4 linked regions of the Drosophila melanogaster genome follow. The protein of the gene in region 4 interacts with the protein of the main gene of each other region in a pairwise test. Each region holds a gene or a part of one and is shown on either strand. Other genes may lie near its edges.

Region 1 (4,680 bases), on a different chromosome or scaffold from region 4:
GAAAACCGAACCACAGCCATCCTGTGTCTAATTAGTGTGACATTGTCTCCCCTTTCGCAGGAGCTGACCGTCAATCAGCCGCAATCAGGAGTCCGCGAGGCCAGCGAGTTCATCATATCCTGCACGGCCCAAGGCTCATCCCGGATGCAGTTCCAGTGGTTCAAGGATGGCGCTGTGGTTAATGCCAGCAAATCGACGAGGTGAGTGAACTATATATATACATGTCGCAGCTGCTTATCTTCCACAACCAGCTCGAAATGCCATAAACTTGCTGCCCGCGTAATGGAATATGGAATGAGAATGGAGTAGTGCCTAGAAAACTGTGAAACGGAGTCTGGAGTTTTAATAAAATAGTATAGAATCGAAAGAATATGGCAAAAATCAATGTCACACTCGGAAAGTCAGAAACGGGTGAAGACGGGTGGAAATCGCGAGGGATGACTCTCGTCACAAGTGTTCAATTTGACTTTATGACTTTTACACATCAATAAACATGACATAAAAACGCCAGGCGGAATAAAAATGAAATGGCCAAAAAGGATAAATAAGTCAGGGCAAAGATAAAGATTTGTCAGTGGCCATGGACGAAGGACGGGGTACAAGTTGGTAAGTTGCTAGCTGGGAACTGGAGGCTGGCTGGGATACTGAGTTCTGGACCAGACCGAAACCTAACCGCAGTAAGCCTAACCGAATGATTGATCATAAATCCTACAGAGTGGGCCAGCCGGAACACATGTGTTGGCCAACATATACGAATGGCATGCCCATTCCATTCCGGAATGCCTCAGACTTCCGACTACAGGCTCCACAACCCCGCAATTCAGATCCACTTTCGGATCCACTTGGCTGGCGGGTAGTGTGGGTGTATTACATAAAAAGCATATGGCCGTAACTAACGAGGGGCTGTTACTTGGGCGACTTGGCAGGGGTTATGAGCAGCTTAGCCCTACCAGGAGCAACACCACCCACTTTCCGCCCGTCATGTTGCCTTGACAATTCGCCTTGCAGCCGAAAGCACCACCACAAAGCTCAAACTTTAAATGTGTTGCGTGAATGGCAAACGAGCGAAACGGAGGTCCTTGGAAAGGATTGGTTAAATGAGTACGCGGTGCGCAGGGCGGTGCAGATGCCGATAGAATTCGCAATTCATTAACAAAATTTTAAGCCTTGGCAGGCTGGCTTTCGCCATTCTGGGACAACGCGTTTTTGGAAACTACATGTCACGAAACGTTGCCAAAAGTTGTTTTTATCTGACCAGAAATTTAAATTTCCATTCTCTTGAAATCTAAAAATATCTAAAATTTCAAGAAAATGCGCGTATAAGCTGTTTGGTTAGGAAAACATTCGAAATGGATCGAACTCTTTAGGAATATAACTATTATATGGTAAATTGTTGTTTTTATCTTTGCAACAATTTAACCAAATATAGTTTGTATTACTTGTTATTCAATCGGCAGATGGCCATCAAATTGATAACGATGTGTTCTATTTTTATGCGGTATTCGAATAAAGGATTGTTCATCCGAATATTACCTTTCAAATAAATAAATGTATGGCCCCCATTCCCGCAAATCGATAACCAAATCTATTCTCGGAGTTCAGTTTTTGTTATCTAGTGAAGCCAACTATGCGTTTTCCAAATGCCAACTGCTACATAGAACAATTCGGACCCTTCCATGGCCATTCCGCCAGCTAGCCCCATCCGATGATGATGATGGTGATGGAGGAGGAGGTGGTGGTGGTGGTGGTGGTGGGGATCCGGACTTATGATTACTTTTATGCATATTTGTACGGATCCCCCACATGTACATGGTATCCTTGTTTGCTGCAGGACCTCCACGTGGCTGGCAGACCTTCCATCAGTTTCAGTTTCGCCCAGTTTGCGTGGCCCACTCGGACGCATTGATGTGTAAAAAATGACTGCCGTACAAAGCCGCAAACATGTGTTTTACTCCACCCAAAATCCCCGCAAATGGAGGGTAGGCAAGTATTAGTAAATATTTTAACTAAAGTGAAGTGAGTGAAGTCATTCATTTGGACATTTACCAACTTTGCATTATACAAACGACTACACATTAAATCCGTCCGATGACTTTACTTTTGCGTACTAAAATAACCGGAAGTAAGTGAATTTTTAATGCTTGATTTCACCGCAGGGAGATGTTCACTTGGGCAAATGCTATTTATTATCGAAATATGGCCAATACTGGCCATCTACTGATTAGTTACCACCGATGGCTATTGGCAACCAATTGGCACATTTAGACAGTTTGCTTAAGGCACGTATAAAGTAATTGTGTTTAGACTTAGATAAAGGACAATAAATATAAGTATACATATCTAGTAACATTAACTACATTTTAAGAATATGAAGTTTCGAGCTTTCGGAACACTATCAACCAATCCGTTGTGGCCAAGTGTAACGAACCTTATGTTCAGATACAGATACCTTTAAGCCCGCAAACTGAGGCGTTCGGCCGTTAATCTATTGGATTGCCAGTCGCCGAAATTGTGACCCAGTTAGCAGATGTTTATCGCAAGCGTCGTAGGCAATAACCCACTTAATGAATGCAATTATTTTCCAATCACGGCACTAAGGCATCCAAAGCTGGTTGCCAAGAGGCCCGCAACCATGGCTAACTGGCCCCAAACTCCCAAAACAGGGGTGGCTTTGATTAACATGCCTTGGCGTTCCAATTGCCATTTGAAGGCGGTAGGTACACACACACACACACACATGTGTGTAAAATAATCAATGGCCACGGTCATTAATTGCGCCCCTAATCCTGTGTCCTTTGCAATCTGGGGCGAGGATTTGCAGGACTACAAGGCCGTTGGGCTGATTAAGTGCCACAACAGTAGTAATACAATTATTGAAGCAGCGGCTAAGCAAATACTTCTCATTAAGCCAACTTCGATTGTCTTAATTGTTGGATTTTACTTTTCAAAAATATCCTTAATCGCTTGAAATAATCGAGGTCCTTTTATTGTGCAAACTACACCACTTTTTGCTTACTTAAAGCTTGCGAACACCTTTAAAGTCTGAATTGAACTGAGTTCAAGACTGAAAAGCAGCCAACAAAGATCCATTTTTCCCACATTTTATTTGCCTAACAAATTCCAGCTAATTCGATCAACAGGAGCTTGCTAAAAACTAAGCTCTGTACGTTTCTCTGACGTCTTTGGCATCGATGTGTTATGTAAAAGCGGTGCACAATTTGTAGCCAGCAAACCAATTGACCTTTTGAGGAAGGAATTTAGATTCCTGCTAATATTAGCTTAACCCTAAGCACTTGCGTAATCTATATTTGTCCCAGCGCCATGAAGTGGAAGGGCTTGACTGCCTGTCAATGCAATTTCAAACCCATCTACCCCTTGGCCCCCATCCCCTTTTGACTTTTCTGCTTTTCCCTTGGCCAAGAAAACATCGACTTTTGGCTTGGAAGCTAACGAAACTGTTGCAGTCACTTTTGGCCGTGCTCTGAAAATTTGTCAAACTTGCTTAAAAGCCAAAGCAAAAATTCAATTTCAGCAGCCATGCAGCGCGAGCAGCCAAATTGCCTGACCCCAGCAGCACCAGACATAAGTAAAATATATATCGTATATATTTTACAAATTGGCTCAACCCGGGGCAGCAGTGGTACAAAAATGGCAGCAACAAAGAGGCAACAACTGTCTTGACAACGCAACGACGATGTCGTCGTCGTCGTCTAAGGACAATGGAATACAGCTATCGAATACAGGGTGCAAATCGAGAGGAAGTGGTTGTAATTTGGTCCCACGAGCCTTAAGGATTTGGCGGGAAATTTAATCCGACGCAGCTTTCATTATCTACAGCCAATCAGAAAATTTGGTTGCTTACTTTTGCCATATTTTCCGTAAAAGATAGCACCCTGTTAACAGCTGTTTGGATAGCACTGCAGTCACACTGAAAAAAAAAACGCACTAAAAAAAGTGTATTTCAAATTTTAAAATAAGTATACAATTTTAACAAGGACTTTTGCCACTCTTCATGGAGTAGCTTTCGATTTTCATAGATATCCATGCAGTTTCTCTTAGTGCATAAGTATCCAATGTTGCTGTGGGGTCACGATTTTCATTAGTTTCATTTGCCACAATGCGTCTGCCATACTCGTCTGCCGAGTTCAGTTGCTCGGATTTGCTTTGCTCTTCCCGTGGCGGGGTGACAATGGTACAATTAGTGACACCATTCGCCATTCCTCCAGCACTCGGTTTGATTCAAAATTTTTGGCATTATCTCATAACTGGCTCAACTCGCGCTGTGTGCACTGTGCTCTCCTTGTCCCGTCTTCCGATTCCGGCTCCTTGGCGCCGCTTGTGCAATAAAAGGACGAAGCTCCGCGGCTGATTGGACTGCTGGTGGGACGGGTATTGATCAAACAGTTCGAGTTGTCGGACAAGGCTGAGACCCACTTTCCCGGGAACGCGTGTCCCACTGAAGGAACGCGATACAGTAAAATCCTGATATATGTAACTGATTGAGAGTTATCACTTAGTAAAAAGCCATTTACCTGTAGCCAACTTAATTAAAAGAATATCTTTTGGTTTACGTGCATGTTTCTAAATGATCCTTTCCTGCATCGAATTGGAGTCGCACCTACTGAAGAGTCACTGTACTTAAAAACGCCATTGAAGGTGGAACAGAAATATGCTCAGTTA
Region 2 (7,573 bases), on a different chromosome or scaffold from region 4:
TGCGTGAATTTGACTTTATGGCTCCTCGTGTGCCTCCTGTAGGATCCTTGGTTAGCGAAGGACATGTTGCACTCCACGCAGATGAAATCGGATACATTGTGAACGCTGTTCTCGTGGCGGATAACGTCGAAATAGCGTGGGAATATCTGGTTGCATCTGAGGCACAGAAATTCCAAATCCTTTGCGCCGCACATGGTCTTGTTGTGTTTCATCGTCTTCATGTGCTCATGTAGTTCGTGTAGTTTGTGGAACTCTGAACCACAATCGCGGCAATAGTAGACCGGATTCGGGCGGGGTTTACAAGAATGCATGCGTATGTGGGTCAGGATTTCGAGCACATGGCCGCAACAGGTGCACAGCATCCGAGTGGCTTGGGTCTTGTCCTTGAAGAACTTGGTGACTGCCAAGCCATCGCGTGACAATCCCACGCTGAAGAAATCCACGGACGCGGTTTTCAAAGATTCTTCGACTACGATCTCCATATGCTCGTTTTTTTCCAATGGATCTTCCTTCACTGGCTCCGCGATATGCTGATCGAAAGAATTCTCCTCATCATTCTTTTCCGTTTCTACCTCTTCTTTGTTTGATGTCACCTCCAACTTGATCTGAAATGCAGTGGAGTCGTCTATTTCGATGGGCCTCCGGTGAAACTCGTCCTGGGCCGTGCCCCACTTCTCCAGGGATTCGCTTATGCGCAAAGTCTCTCCAAAGCAGGGCTCGCAAATGCAGTAATTTTCCCCCAGGATAGCAGCCTAAAATACGTGGGTTTCTTTGCATTTGACATCCATTGGACTCACTTTCAGAACTTACATCAATTTTGTACCAATCGAAAAGTCTTTGCAGCAGTTTATTGGCCGATTTGAATTTGGGCTTCTCGAGATCGATCTCAATTGCTCGGTTATCCTTGCATAGTTTGCAAATTTCCGCTTCTGTCATTTTGCTGATATTTTCGAGGAGGTCCAAAAACCAAGTTAATAAAAGGCAAGTAATCAATGATTTCTTCGATGTCTGCTAATCGATACTATCGATAGATGTTTAATTTATCGATACAATGCAGAGCTGCTTAATGTCGATAGGCAATTGAATTAATCGATTTTTAATTTACGGACTTAGAAATTTATGCAAATCTAAAAATAAATTAATTTTGATTGATTTGAATAGAGATAGTTGTTCAGATTTAGGAGTTAGGTGAACGATCTGAGATCGAAGTGAATTTTCTAAAGATGCCGCCTGCATATTGAACGGTATAAAAGCTTTCAATGTACACAAATTTGCCTAACATTTGCTAAGAGAACCGGAAAATATTGTTTAATATCATAATCGAACAAAAACCAATTTACAAGTTTAGACTGTAGTTTTTTCATTACCTAAAAAAGTATTTGTGTAATTATTTGAATGTTCGAAACCCAAAACAAGAAAATACAAATAATTATGAAAAAAGTAAGAAGTTGACTAATTGCAATATAAATTTAAAAATTAAAAAATGTTGTAGTGAATCCAGGATACCAGGAAACTAGTTCCATTCGCCTCCGATAACTTCCGAGTATCGATAGGCTCTATCGGCCATCAGAATCGCGATCTAGTTCGGTTCGCGTGCAGCAGAACGCAAAGTACAACAGGATTTTTTTCGTTCCGTGTGACGTGAAAAGTGCAAATAGTAATTGTTCGAATTAGTTTAAGCCTAGCTAACTAACTAAATAAATAGCCATGGTAGGTAGTTGTTGATTGACTGAGATAAAATGCTGACGCAGTGAGCGGTGTCAGTGTGTATGCATGTGAGCCGCGCGTTAACTGGTGTGTGTGTTTTTGTCGTGGCAATGTGTGCGTGTTAAAAAAAGCGGCCGCCGCGTCACAATACAAAATTGTGCTTCGATTTTTCCTAATTGCATTTCGATTTCTCCCTATTTCCGTCTATTTCCCGGATCAGTCGTTTGCGGAAAAGATAACGGGTCTGCTGGCACGGCCGAATCAACAAGATCCAATTGGACCGGAGCAGCCGTGGTATCTCAAATATGGAAGTCGATTGCTGGGCATTGTGGCCGCCTTCTGTAAGTTGTAGGATATATAATAAATTATCTACTAGCTTAACACATTAAAAAGTTGGGAAAAACATCCGTGACATTGGGCGGCCCAAAAATATGTTGCATCGATTTTTGTGTACCACCCTTTGTTGTTGTTGCTGTTATCTATTCGTAGGTGTAGGTGTGCAGTTGTGTTCGTGTGTGTACGCACGCTCTCTGACATTGATAAAGGAAAAACAAGAGAGGGTGAGTGAGAGGTGAGAGGCAGTGAGAGCGGAGAAAGGAAACATGGAAAAGACAACACAAAAAGGATACACAAATTCACACACTGAAAAAAATACTAGTTATGTATGTAGCTAAAGTTTATTTTTACATCAAAATCAAAGAAATGTAGGGTAAAGTGTGAGATTTCCAAATGAATTAAGAATGAAACGTATAATTTTAAGGTAAAACAAAGTCCAAAAAAGGTTTTTTTTTGTTTTGTTATTGAAATATAAAATAATACATTCACCCACTTAACTAAGTGGGCTTCCTGCACTTAATATCTCTTATCTAACCATTTCGTTTGATAACTTTTTATTTCGTGTGTAGGAAATTGCAAGTATGTATAGGAGCTTTTCTGTGTCAAGTTTGGCGCTCTGCTTTTTCTTTCCGCATCGAATGTAATTCTCTGTGCCCATTCAATCGAAATTCGCACTGCCTTTTGTTGTATCAGCAGCTTCCCTCTTTCCATCTCTATTTTTAACTTTGTTTTACCCGTTTGCGTATTTGCTTTTTTATCTGGACTCAGTTAACCTTAACCCTTAGGCTGCCACACGTGTTATAAGTGCAATATCGTAATAAGTCTATGCGTATCTTAAATTCAATTGGGGCATCTTTTTTGTAATTTCATCATCACCTTCTGAATGCATAAAAAAATGCAGTTCAATAAACTTTTAAGTAGTCGTGATCTACTTTGATTAAGTCCAAGTCAATCTTTTTAATCGCAGTTGGGGTTTTGATTATGCTATTGGGTTTCGTGTCGTTAGAATACTTACAAAAATTATTTTAAAAATCAATCTAAACCATACATATGTATATAAATGAAAATTCCACAGAAACAATATGCCTCATTGACATATTATTCCTGGAATTTTTAGAGATCAACCAAAGGAATATTTATTTATTCAAAACGTTTTTAACATCTTTTTTTTCTCTGTACAAAAGCATCTTTTGTTGTTGGATATTCTGGCAATGATTCTCACTTAGTGAAATGCAGAAATTGCCCAACAAATGAACACCATCCACTTAAAATCAATATAAATAGCTGAATACCTCAATTAAGGGATCACAACTCACTCGTCCGGCTTCCACAATGAACCGGTTTTGTTTGCGTAAAATAAAACCAAAGTCTATGATTAATAAATAATTTTATAAGCCGTTCCGTGGAGCACAACGACTTCTTCCCCAGGTTGGGTCAGTTTGCCTGGCTTTAAGAACCGCAATAACCTCAAAACCCAGATCCGATTTCGCAAAAGGAAAAACCTAACTTGCGAAGCTAAATATTAAAAGTGGCCTAAATCGTGAAATCTTTTTTATTTTATTATTCATGTATTTAGAATTTTAGAATTCAACCTTTCCTCGTGATCTTTTGCTGCATTTATACCAGCCACTTTTATCCAATTATCACGCCCCAGGCATTTGTTTATCTGCGAATTATAGTCGTATGTGCTGTTTACTCTTTGTTTATGCTTTTATCATAGACCAAAAGCAGCTGATAAAATATTTTAATGTAATTCACTTGTACGCCCCTCTAGCGATATCGAATGGAATTTAGTGAATTCTACCTGTGAACTGAACTACTTACTATCAACTAACAATTTGCCCAACTGTTTTTCATGCTGTTTGTCACGCTTCTGTGGCTCGTTTTTGTTTAAAAAATTTTTAAATAAAAGAGAAGGCCATAAAAAGTTAGAAATTGGCACAATATGAGTCAGCGTTGTAGATTAGATTGCGTTTCCTCGTTTTTACCATACGGGGCGGTTGGCCCGACATAATGGGTCTAGTGGGAGTATGATATTGGTATTTTTGGTCAGTGTTTAGCGATAAAGATATACGCCTTTTATTGGAAATTACAAAAATAGCTTGACCTCTGCATACATTAAATACAACATATGATAGGAATGTAATTTTTTTAAATAATAAAAAATCAATAGAAGTTAGCAGTAAGCAGTAACTTGAGCTACATGGAAACAGTAGATTGAGGAGCAAATTCATAATAGCCAAGGAAAATATTCATTATTAGTAGATTATAACATTGCATAACTAACATCTTTTATCCCATGTTTTCCTTCCAGTTGCCATTCTTTTCGGCCTGTGGAATGTGTTCTCCATCATCACGCTCAGCGTATCCTGCCTGGTGGCTGGCATCCTTCAAATGGTGGCAGGATTTGTGGTGATGCTCTTGGAGGCTCCCTGCTGTTTCGTCTGCTTTGGGCAGGTGAACGAGATCGCGGAAAAGGTGGAATCTAAGCCCTTGTACTTCCGTGCCGGGCTCTACATTGCGTGAGTAACCAAAGAAATTTGTCACAAATTGTAATATTTCCTAAAGATTATGTTTTCCATTTCAGCATGGCCATTCCGCCCATTATTCTGTGCTTTGGACTGGCCAGCTTATTCGGCAGTGGGCTGATCTTTGGCACTGGCGTGGTTTACGGCATGATGGCGTTAGGCAAGAAGTGAGTATGGGGCACCTCGGAAAATCGCAGTTAAATTCAGAAAATTGCAGCTATGCCGCAGAATTTTTAAAAGAAATAGCTGGATTCAAATCAAACTGCATTGATTAGGCACTCATGTGTTCCTAAAACATTAATCTGAATTTAAAAAACAAGCTTTATGGTGAATTTCTGAATTTAAAGACGACTTCGATTATTGGGTTAGTTTAGTTGCTAAGCGAACGGAGGAGCGAGCGATTTAGTTAGTTTTGCTAAGCCATTTTTGCTAATCGAAACAAAATGTTTTCTCTATATTCCCACGATGTGCTTGCCACTGTGAAAACGCTTAAATAACTATAAACTAACACGTAGAGCTTCTCGAGAGGACATGGCCGCCGCTGCCACATCGCCCACACAGATGGCCGGCAGTCAGGCGGGCGGTCAGATGCAGATGGGCGGCGATCAGCATATCACACTCATGGAAGACCCCGATGTCTGGCGCCCCACATAAATTCCTAGCCGCGCCATTAGTAACTGCCAAAAAACCACACTCAGATACAGATAAAGACACAGATACTCAGATACACAGATTCACACACAAAATACTCCACTAGAAATGCGAACGATGCAAGAATTGATCGAGTAACAAATATTTTACGGCGCCTAGTTTTTAGTGTTCGTTCCGAGGATAAATGCAACTAAGTGAAAAGGAAAATCACTACAAAGCAGCATTGTAGGGCATCAGAGAACTAGTATACAGAACACCCCACCAAATACAAAAGAAAATTTAACGAAATTCTCATTACTGTTGAAACCGAGAGTGTTAGTAATCAAAGTATATTTTGGGCAAATGCATTTCCGTCATTCGACCCCCCGTTTTGCATGGCATTCGTACTATATTCGTATTCAAATTTTTTAATATCTTTCGTCGAGCGGTTGGTGTTGTTAAGAACTACAGTTAAATATATATAATATGCATAGAACAACTACTGATAACAATAACGTAACTCACATGTCAAACTCTGCAGCAAGCATATATTTTTAGTGAGAAACTATATTTGAAAGCTAACCGAATGCAAGAGGAACCGGAACCTATAAGTTAACCACAGCTTCCACACACTCACACACAGCTAATGCTAATGGAAAGCCACTGATGATATGGACAAGTGAATGTCGAGAACCTAGAGCAATATGTACAACTCAGAAATAATTAACTTTATATGCTTTGCTTCGATGTAAACCATAAAATTAAATGTTAAACGTTATTTGAGAATCGATTTGCTCGCGGGATAGTCACAATTTGAAATTGAACATAATCAAGCATACAGATAGAATATATATATATATATATATATACAACAAGTTGAGAATTTACCAGTTATATTTTTTAAATGTTGTAACCGAAAAGTGTCCATTTCAATTTGATGCATTGTTAGACGGTTTTCTTTTTAGACAATTACTTGGTTAATAGGATTTCGTTTTCGGGTTTCGTATGATTTCTTGTTTGCTAGAAGTATATGCTTATTTTTTTTAGTATACCTAAGTTATTTATAAGAGTTTATTCCAATCGTTTAACTTTGAAAGTCTGAGAAAAACGTTTTAAATTATTTTTGTTGTTGCCTATTGGCATTCTTACCACAGAAGCATTCCAAAATCTGTTTACTTTACGCATAAGTTATTGTATAGTTTAATTATTATAACTTTAAATATACATTATTTACAAGAAACTCGCGATAATTTATTACAATTTAGCCTTCGCCAGCAACTAAGAGTCTCACCTAAAGTAATCACGAATCATAATTAATTTGTTGAACTTTGTTAATCAATGAACGCAACACTAAAAATGAAAACATAAACATGTAAAATATTTCGTTAGAATTTGAACGCGCATGATTCAAATATCAAACACTTTGTACATGCCACCTGAAAACTGTCCAAAATCCTGCCGTTAAAGCCAAGTACATTCAACGACGGCCAACAGCGATTAACAACAATATACGATTTACGTTAACGAGTTCTGAACTTTGCTGCGTCCAAGAGATCACTACAGGCAAATACATTTTGAGCTTTCCTTTTTGTAATTGCTAACGATTGTAAATTGTATATTTTTCGTAGATTTTGTCAATGATTGATGACGTATTTATTTACTTGTGCACACGAAGAATGAAATTGATTTAGATTAGTTCCTGTAGTTCCCGGTATTTATGTAAGACTTGTATACTGTATTCATGCTGCCTTAGTTTTTTTTTGTTTGTCTTAGAAAAGCTTTTAGAAATATCTGGCTGTTCTATCGACCCTTTGGTTTCATGTAGGCAAAGTCACAGTTTTTAGTTGAGCACTTGTAAATTGTATAATTTTGGAAACCATTTGCCAATGTTTTGTACTCTAAAGACTAATGTAATCCTTTTACTTTTTCAACAGAGCATCCGCCGAGGACATGCGGGCAGCTGCTCAGCAAACCTTCGGAGGAAACACACCTGCCCAAACCAACGATCGAGCGGGGATTGTGAACAACGCCCAGCCCTTCTCCTTCACCGGTGCCGTGGGCACGGACAGCAATGTGTGATTCAGAAGCTAGCTGATCGGGATTTCGAGGAATCGAAGAGCTGGGTGTGCCGTGAGAAAACAAGACTCAAAACGCAACATTTGAAGGGCAAACCTAACCAAGAGAACATCGGCAGGCAATCATAAACATAATCATGTGCAATTTCTGATTGTTCAATAACCAACGCAAATGGATAACAAAAGTTTTTAAATCCGATTAGCTCTGATCTCTTTCTAGAGCAATCCAAATTACTCGATCAGAAAGAAGCCACCCAAAACAAGATCATTAAATTTTAAACCATTTTTGTATTAAAT
Region 3 (4,966 bases), on a different chromosome or scaffold from region 4:
AAGTACAAGCGAATCTAACTTCTAAAGGAAATAGAAACTACTATCATTATTTGCTAGCTTTATCAATCATAAAGTAAATGGAAATAGTTTGCTGTGTGTATCACGCAGCCTCTTGCCATTCCCAACTATTACATTCCATTCCACCCGCAAGTGAGGAAGTCACTGCTTATTTAAGACCTTATCGCCTGGCGGTAGCTGCGAAGATGTTGGCGTGCTGGTTGGTTTTCAGTTGCTGGAGTAGCTCCGCTTAGATGCGGGGCGAGATTGGGCCAATCCGTGGGGGAATTGCCCGGCGAATAGGATGACGAGCTGAGTAAGCAAAATTGTGATAATTGTGTTGAGTGCCCCGAGACTCAAGCCTCAGCAGCTGAACCCGCCATGGAGGCATAGTGGAGGCAAAAAGGTCGCACCACAGAAAGCATAGGCAGTTGCAGAGGAAGAGGGTGTCGGAGACGGAGTCCAAAGCGAAGACGACGTCGGCACTGGAGTGTTACATTCGAGATACGCTCGCTTCTAGCTCCCCTTGCTGAATGGCTTGAATTGAAGCGCATCGTGGCTAACAATAAGAGTTGCAAAGGGCGCACAGTGGGTTAAAGTGCGATGATATCTCACCGCAATTACCGACATAACACTGGCGACAAAAAGCTAATTTCGGTGCGGTAATTTTGTGTTTTCGTGGGTCTGGAGCTTGGCAGCTACAACTTGTTGCCTAACATTTAAGTTGCTATGCTCGCAATTAAACATTGATATATTATTTACCAAAGAAATTAAGTTGTAAATGTAAATTACAATGACATATCTCACTATAATGAGGTGTCTACTGTTAAAGTTGAAGCGTCTCTCGAATTTTTTAGTTAAAATTAGAAAATGAAGATAAGCGAATGAAATCGAGTTTGATTTTATAATACGTACTTTCGATTGCTCGGTTTCCGAAACATTTGCAAATAAACAGACGTAAAGTTCGCCAAACATTTGAATAGAAAAGTCTGACAATGCTCTAGGCTTTATAGCCCTTTCAAAAATAATGTTTGCATCGTTTGGCGATCGATTTCCGCAGCTTGACCCAATTATGATTTCCCGAGCATTCGAATGGAGCTTCCACTTAACCCACGGACACACGTTCACTGTGGCTGCGATAGTTGCATGTGTAAGCGTTCGTGTCTAATCAGGAACGTGGGGAACTAAAAAAAAAAAGGGGGGGGGGGCTCTCCAGATCCCTGGCCGTTACACAACCACCGAGATGCTCTTGAATCGCTGCAACTGCGGCAGAACTGGCAATTGCAATTGACGCACACGCATCTGCGAATATGTGGAATGCAGAGTGCCTGAAAGGGGGAAACAGCGAATGGAAATAATACAGGCAAATAAAAATAACACTCGGAATGAGTAATGCGACCTAGGGGGAGCGCCCACCAAATAATAATAAATGAACAGCGAAGAAGAGATCATGACGATACGATGATGTATGAATTTGGCCCAGACTTTTACTTTTACTAGCCACAGCTAGCCAAGCAGCTAGCATAATTATCGCCGTTTACCGGGCTTTGTTATGCCACTTCGCGCGCGATGTGTAACAAATTTAAATGAAATGCATAGTGAATCGGGCAGTGAATTGTATGGAAGCAGGGCAATAAAAACGGGCGCCAATGGGGGCGGGCTAACTTGGCTGGCAAAACAAAAAGGTGTATAAATAGACAATGCCGAAACCGCAAATAATAACCAATACCAATACTGCGGGCGAACGGGCTGCGAAAGAAAGCGGCGAAAAAGTCATAATAAAAATTATAATAATGATTAAAAAACGCCGTCGATGTGGATGTCGATGTTGATGTTGCCGTTTGCAGTTGAGAAATGTAAATGCCACAAGGCCAAGCGACAAGGCGAGGCCGCCAATACACACAGACAAACCGAAGCCCGTGACACAGTCATCCACTGTAGTGTGTTCTCCAAGCCCCCTGCGAACCCGTACTCGTGTTCGTGTGCCATTGTGCATGTCTGGCGGCGATTATCGGATTTGGAGCGAACGACAACCACTGTGCGCCTTATCAGCAGCGACAACATGACACCCACCAGGGCCGTAGGCATGGCTGATTGCCGCTGCAAGGAGGGGCTCTCAGCTGGGAACTATTTTCAGATTGTAAGAAACATCATATGGATGTTTAAGCTAACATGCTAACAAACTATGATAAGCTAGGTACCTAAAGCAATATCAATATAATCACTTGATGAAGAACAAATTCTGTAACTTCCCCCTCTGGCGAATGACCGCCTACGCAACTGCCTGCCTCACTGGAAATCCCGGTTGCCCGATTACTAACCGCAATTGGCGAGGACCTTCTGCAGCGGCATGTCCTTGGGCAGCTCCTTGGCGGACTCGTCCAGAGCCTGGGCAATCTTGTAGTGACTGTTCTTCTTGGTCCGCTTGTCCTGCTCCTCGCTGCTCCCGCTTCCACTTCCGCCTCCGCCGCTCAGCGCCGGCAGCTTGCGGACGATCTTCTCGATGGTGTCCCGGTATCTGTCCACCTGCCGCTCGATCGCCTCCAGCTCCGAGTCCTTGCTGTCCGACTTGCTCGATCTGCGAATGCGAAAAGGACCATTTTGACACGGGTTTAGCACGGGTTAGGTCATCATCGGCAGTCCACTATTGTTACGGCTGTCATCGCGCTTTGTTATTGATGCAGTTGCTCTGTGGCTGCTTCTCTGCTGCTTTTGTTGTTGTTGCTGCTGCTGCTGTTGCTTCTTTCGTGATGAGGCAACACACACCTGTCTGTCCACCTGGAGCGCACTTACACAAACACACACCCACAGACATCCGACCGACAGACTGGCTGGCCTTTGAACTTACCTTGACAGATTTTCGGCTGCTATTTTGATTTTGGCAAACTGCCTCTTCATCTTGGCTGATTCGCTGGTGCCGCTCGCGTCTCCAACTTGAACTGAACTGCTGTGTGTTTGTTTGCGATGTGCAATTAGCTGGGCATTGAGTAAATACTTAAAACAGGCAAATTAGTCATTCTTCAACGATGTTTTACGGAAAAGTGAGGCGGGTGTGACCGCAGCGGGAGCGCTGGGAAATGACAAAAGGCTGGAGAGCGCCTTTTTCGAAAGTTCGTATTTGGTAACACTGTTTGATAAATGCCTGTTGAGATTTCTCAGAGCTTAGGCTAGAATTATGAATTTAAGCAATGGTTAATTAATGTTTATTAAATTTCAATCTCCTTTAATCTGAAACCATTGCTTAAATTCGCTGAATAGGGGAATACCCCTTACTACTTGTAGCGGTACCAGACATTTGCGCTAGGGTAACCACTGTCGAAAACACCCGAATTCTGTGGGGTCACACTGAACTCGACCGCCTTGCTTAGCTGCACGTGTGCGTGCGTAAATAATAGTTTTATTGTTATTTTACTCTCGAAAATGACCCAGGCGGAGATCGTGAAATGTCTGCGGGAGGAGTATGAAATCGAACACAACAAGGATCAGAAGCCGGAGAAGGAGGACCTGCCCGCCATCACCAAAAAGTTCTATCAGCGAGTCTTGGAACTGCTGACCATTCACAAAGTGCCCTACTCCAAACAAGAAGGTGAAACCATTAATGAAAAGCCTTAAATCTTTAACTTTATCGTATTTCCTACAGATGAGGAGACCTACGAAGAGTACCTGCTGTCGGACACGGAGGAATCGGGAAACAAGAAAAAGAAACAACAGGGAAAACTGAAAAACCAAGACTCCGACGACGAGGATGTAGAGGCACGCATTGCCTCCATCAAGAACAAGCTGCGCCAGAAAAAGGGACCCACAACGGAGCGACAGCAGAAGCGACGCGAATCTAAAAAGCTTAAACGCAGCAAGGGCGTCCAGAAACTGCTCCTCTCCTCGGCCAAAAACCTCAAAAACGAGAACGTCAAGCACCAGAAACTGAAGAATGGCGTGGTGAAATCAGAACAGGAGACGGAGGACAGCAAGGAACAGATCCAGCCGGTCAAGGTGCAACCGGTTTACAACCAGGAGGCCAAGATCGTCTACTCCAAGGTGGACTTTGCCGCCAATCCTGGAGGCAAAGCCAAGAAGTCTCACCAAAACCCCAAGGAGATTCTGAAGAAGCTGCGCGACACCAAGAAGCACCTAACCGAACTGCGCGAACAGGGCGAAACGGACAAGGCGGCGGAGATCCAGACGGACATCGCCTGGCGCAACGCATTCGACAAGGTCGAGGGCAAGAAGGTCAAGGACGACACCAAGCTGCTGCAAAAGGCCATCAAGAAGCGGCGCGTGGAGAAGAAGAAGTCCAAGACCAAGTGGACTGAACGCAAGCAGAAGGTGGAGCACGACAAGGAAAAGAGGCAAAAGAAGCGACAGGAGAACCTGGAGAAGCGCAGCAAGGACAAGAAGAACCGGAAACTAAAGACGGCCAGCAAGAGGGGTCGCATCATACCCGGCTATTAACTATGCTTACTATAGCCCTTAAGTGTAAAGTAGTGTAAATGTATGCCACGTTGAAATTCAACTCAGAATGCTTTAGAAAAAAAGTGATCTTTCTGAAATTTACGTTTTTATACTTTCGTGTTAGAAATTTACTTTTCCGGCCTCGACACAGTCAAAATTCCAGTAGACAGCTAAATTCCCAGTTCCAAGCCACACTATTTGGCTCCTCGTTTTTGTCCACTTTGTGTCACTTTGTGTTCCACTGTGCGTTGCGCGGCTTCACCAAAGATTGGCAAGAAGAAGAACGGCGAACAGCTGAGACCGATAACAACAATCGATTGATATCGTAATCGTTTAGTTGGATTGCTGCGATTTTTCCAGATTTTCCGAGTACTTACAAGAGACAAAAAGTGGATCAGATAATGCTGGAGACCCTAGAAATTTGTGGATCTTTTAATACAGTATAGTGACCGATTTGGCAAGAAGAAGCAGAGCGAGTGGGGCAGCCAAAACAACGAGAATCACACGCACGCACACAGCC
Region 4 (3,369 bases):
AAGCGAGGGAGAATGAGGAGAGAGAGAATGAGAGAGCGAGAGAGAGAGAGAGACGGCGAGAGAGCGAAAGAATCGGTCGATCGCATAATGAAACCAAAAAGCAAAACGTTAAAGTTATTTCCATATTATATTATATATACATATAAATTTAAATATAAATGTTAGTTGAAGTCCACTCATAATTAAACACAAGGCTTAAACGTTAGACGCAACCCAATTGAATCCAATCCAATCCATTCCCATCCATCTCGAGTCCGAACCCCGCCCAAAACAGTTAATAAGCTACGTAATTGATATTGATAACCCCGAGAACACAAAGGGGCTAAAAACGTTTATAATGATGATCTATTTAAAAGTTAGATGCCGCAAAGAAAACTCTATCTGAACTAAACGGAAGCTAAATAAAATACTTTATAAAGCAATTGCCCCCCGTTTAATTTAGTATCTTGCAACGACTGAAAGAAATGGATCCACCCGGGGGCGCCAAGTAATGGATTGTTAAAGCATAATGCTGAGATAAAGAAGTTCTTCGTATTTATTTTAGACTAAAAATTTAGCAGATCTCTTGAAGCCTACGCCCAGACCTAGCCAACTACTTTTCATCGCTGGTAAAGGACAGGCCGGAAGTGAAGCCATCGCTGAACGCGCTGTACTCCGCCTGCTCCTCCGCCTGCGGCTGGTCGTCGGCCTGTTCCCGGCCCAGTTCCTCCGGCTGTCCCGAGGCGTTCTCTTGGCTGCCTGTGGGCACGCAAGAGCGCGGTGCCGTGCGGCGCTTTAACGGCGTCTCATCGTCCTGGCCGTCGTCACGTTCATCCTCGTCCAGCTCATCCCGCGAGACTTCCACTGCGGCTGCCTGAGCTGGGGAATCGGAAGCGGTGCCGCTGGTGTTGACCGCCGCATTGCCCAAAACGGCTCCCACGACTCCTCGCAGCACCCTGTAGAAGGCGTCGTGCACCTGACCCATCACTTGGCTAGCCGGACGCACTTGCTCCGCCTCGGGCTGTTTATACTGTTGGTACTGGTTTGGCGGCTGAATCTGCTGGCCTCGCGCCCAGCTGCTGTGGCTGCTATGCTTCACGGCTCCCTCCGCCCGACGCTGCGGCTCCTCGCAGGGACACTTGCGCCGCGGAGCAGAGCCTGATCCTCCCGATGTGGGCGGAGGTGGTGGCGGCGGCGGATCGTCGCGACAACCATTGTCATCCTCGCCCGCCGCCCGGCGCTGCTGCTCGCGATCGAACTCGGTCATGGCCCGCTCCGATCGCTCCCGGCAAACGGAGCAGTCGGGATCCGCGCCGTAGACGCCAATGTCGCCATTGAGGGACGACTCGTGGTCCGATTCGCAGCTGCACTTGCCGCTGGCCAACTCGCCGGTCTTGCCGGATCCGCGGCGCAGCTTGTACACGATGAACAACAGGGCCAACGTGGCGTATGTGGCCTTTGCCACCTGCGAAATGGGTCATAGTATATGTATTTGTAAAAAATGTATGTAAAAAAATGTTAAATTAATAATTTTGAATTTCAATTTGGAGCTGAAAATAATATTTTGTGTCCATCAACAGCTCCAAAGCGATGGTTCATTTTATCTTGTGTGCGTTCAATAGAATCACTCTTACGTTAGCGCGTCCATTGATGGTTGTCCCATTGAAGTACTTCTTAAAGCCGTCGGCCATTGCTACTGGACTGGATCTGGAGATCTGGAGATCTGGATTTGGGGTCGGGTCCGGGTGAGAGCTGAGTGTGTTCTGCCTATAGCTCCGAGCGAGAACCTAATGACAAGCAGCGAAGTGCAAAGCTCGGCCAACTAGATTACAAAGTCGATTCATTGGCAGGATTCGATTTTTATTGACTCAACGAGGTGGTACATGAGTTTGGTCCCCAAGCCTTTAACTGTGGCATCGAGGACCGGAAAGGGGGTGCTGATTATAAATAGTTATGGATTGCTGACGGGTCGAATGGGTCGGAGCGGTGGGGAGCCATGACTTCAATGATTTGGCAGCATCGGCGCCCTAGCCATGGAGCATGGCCTGCTGGCAGCCCTTGCAGTAGAGCTTGGTCTCGCGCCGCTTCGTGTTGCGGCGGTGCATCTTGACCAGGACGTAGACGAGTCCCAACGAGGCCCAGGTGGCCTTGGCTACCTGTGGGTTTCGGTGGCGTATTTGGGCGCATCTTGTGTACTGCCGTGTACTGAATCACTTACATTGGCGCGACCACGCATGGTCTGGCTGTTGAAGGCTTCGTTGAAGTTGAAATGATCGGACATCTTTGGATCGTTGTTGACCGGATTGGCGTGGCTTTTAACAAAAGATTAAAATTTGGATTCGATATTCGACCTGTATTTTAGACCGGGATTCGGATTGTGACTTTTAAACGTTCGAAATGAAAGGAATGTTACTGACAGTCGTCAAAGCCGACTCGGGTTTCCCAACTAGAGAGAATGCTGAAGTCTAGTACCGACTAATGGGATACCCATTAATTACTGCTTAAATACTGTGATGAAAATTGAGATATGCAAGAGGCAAATCGAAAGTTTTGGACATTTTCATATTGTACCTTTAACCAACTTCAGAATTCATTGAGCTAAATACCATTTACAATTTTATGAAATTTTTAAGCATGTTACAGCTATAACTATTTTTAAACCAGTTACTAGATTCGTTGAAAATTGTATGTCACACAGAACTTCTTGCCATCCTGGTCGGAATTAGGATCACTAGCCAAGCCGATATGGCTATGTCTGTCCGTATGAAAGTCTTGGAATCTGATATTAACATCGCATATCGATCGACCATTATATATCTAATATATCCTCTACAAATGTATTTTATCACCTAGCTAGCATGTAAACATTCTGGCCTATTTAGCTGTACGCTTCAGTTATGCTAATGCAAACATAAGCCTTTTGTGATATTATAATTTACATTTATTATTTATTGCAGTTAGCTTTATCAGCGATTTGGGCTCATGCCACACGCAATACTACTTATTTCAACGTCATCAGTTGTACTAAATGCACAAATGAAATACATTTCGCCAAATAAATGCCAACTTGCAACTAATTTGAATGCTAATCAAACCGAACTACTCATTTGCATACAAGGTAATAGGTGGTTAAAGTGAGTGTAATGGACTTACTTAAGGGGTTACAAGGCTTATATTTAAAATGCCTGCCTTGTAATTAAATTTTTAAATATATTGGAAAAAAATGGCCACTTGTTATGTGAGTCTCCAGAAAAAAAACAAAAAAACAGCAACCATCTGGTATGCAAAATATCTGGTGGTAGCAAAATATCTGGTGGTATCTGGTGGACTATCAAAATATAAAAACTTTTTTTTCCAGATAGTATATCTTAAAATCAGCATCTTGAAGGA

Evidence for each region.
Region 1: the proteins of CG15459 (region 4) and CG34109 interact in a two-hybrid assay, tested with the Drosophila melanogaster proteins (one large-scale study listed by BioGRID).
Region 2: the proteins of CG15459 (region 4) and fwe interact in a two-hybrid assay, tested with the Drosophila melanogaster proteins (one large-scale study listed by BioGRID).
Region 3: the proteins of CG15459 (region 4) and RhoGAP92B interact in a two-hybrid assay, tested with the Drosophila melanogaster proteins (one large-scale study listed by BioGRID).

The regions. Positions count from the first base shown.
Region 1 is NT_033779.5:10,092,434-10,097,113, reverse strand, and holds the start of CG34109 (uncharacterized protein), read right to left. Parts: upstream 3,027-4,680; 5' UTR 3,017-3,026; intron 201-3,016; coding exon of another isoform or gene 61-200; intron 1-60. Other genes in the region: CG44153 (uncharacterized protein), read left to right, coding at 61-200.
Region 2 is NT_037436.4:15,810,411-15,817,983, reverse strand, and holds the start of fwe (flower), read left to right. Parts: upstream 1-1,573; 5' UTR 1,574-1,707; coding exon 1,708-1,710; intron 1,711-1,927; coding exon 1,928-2,048; intron 2,049-4,357; coding exon 4,358-4,565; intron 4,566-4,630; coding exon 4,631-4,738; intron 4,739-5,086; coding exon of another isoform or gene 5,087-5,225; exon of another isoform or gene 5,226-5,742; coding exon of another isoform or gene 5,743-5,776; exon of another isoform or gene 5,777-6,764; intron 6,765-7,135; coding exon 7,136-7,280; 3' UTR 7,281-7,573. Other genes in the region: CkIIalpha-i1 (CKII-alpha subunit interactor-1), read right to left, coding at 1-752, 811-936. UniProt on the Drosophila melanogaster protein: Transmembrane protein which mediates synaptic endocytosis, fitness-based cell culling, neuronal culling, morphogen gradient scaling, and calcium transport. Regulates synaptic endocytosis and hence couples exo- with endocytosis.
Region 3 is NT_033777.3:19,903,240-19,908,205, reverse strand, and holds the start of RhoGAP92B (Rho GTPase activating protein at 92B), read right to left. Parts: upstream 3,043-4,966; 5' UTR 2,896-3,042; coding exon 2,846-2,895; intron 2,758-2,845; exon of another isoform or gene 2,576-2,757; coding exon 2,319-2,575; intron 526-2,318; exon of another isoform or gene 115-525; intron 1-114. Other genes in the region: Surf6 (surfeit 6), read left to right, coding at 3,418-3,583, 3,638-4,446. UniProt on the Drosophila melanogaster protein: GTPase activator for the Rho-type GTPases by converting them to an inactive GDP-bound state.
Region 4 is NC_004354.4:20,411,828-20,415,196, forward strand, and holds CG15459 (uncharacterized protein), read right to left. Parts: upstream 1,755-3,369; 5' UTR 1,671-1,754; coding exon 1,614-1,670; intron 1,445-1,613; coding exon 593-1,444; 3' UTR 514-592; downstream 1-513. Other genes in the region: CG15458 (uncharacterized protein), read right to left, coding at 2,007-2,135, 2,198-2,260.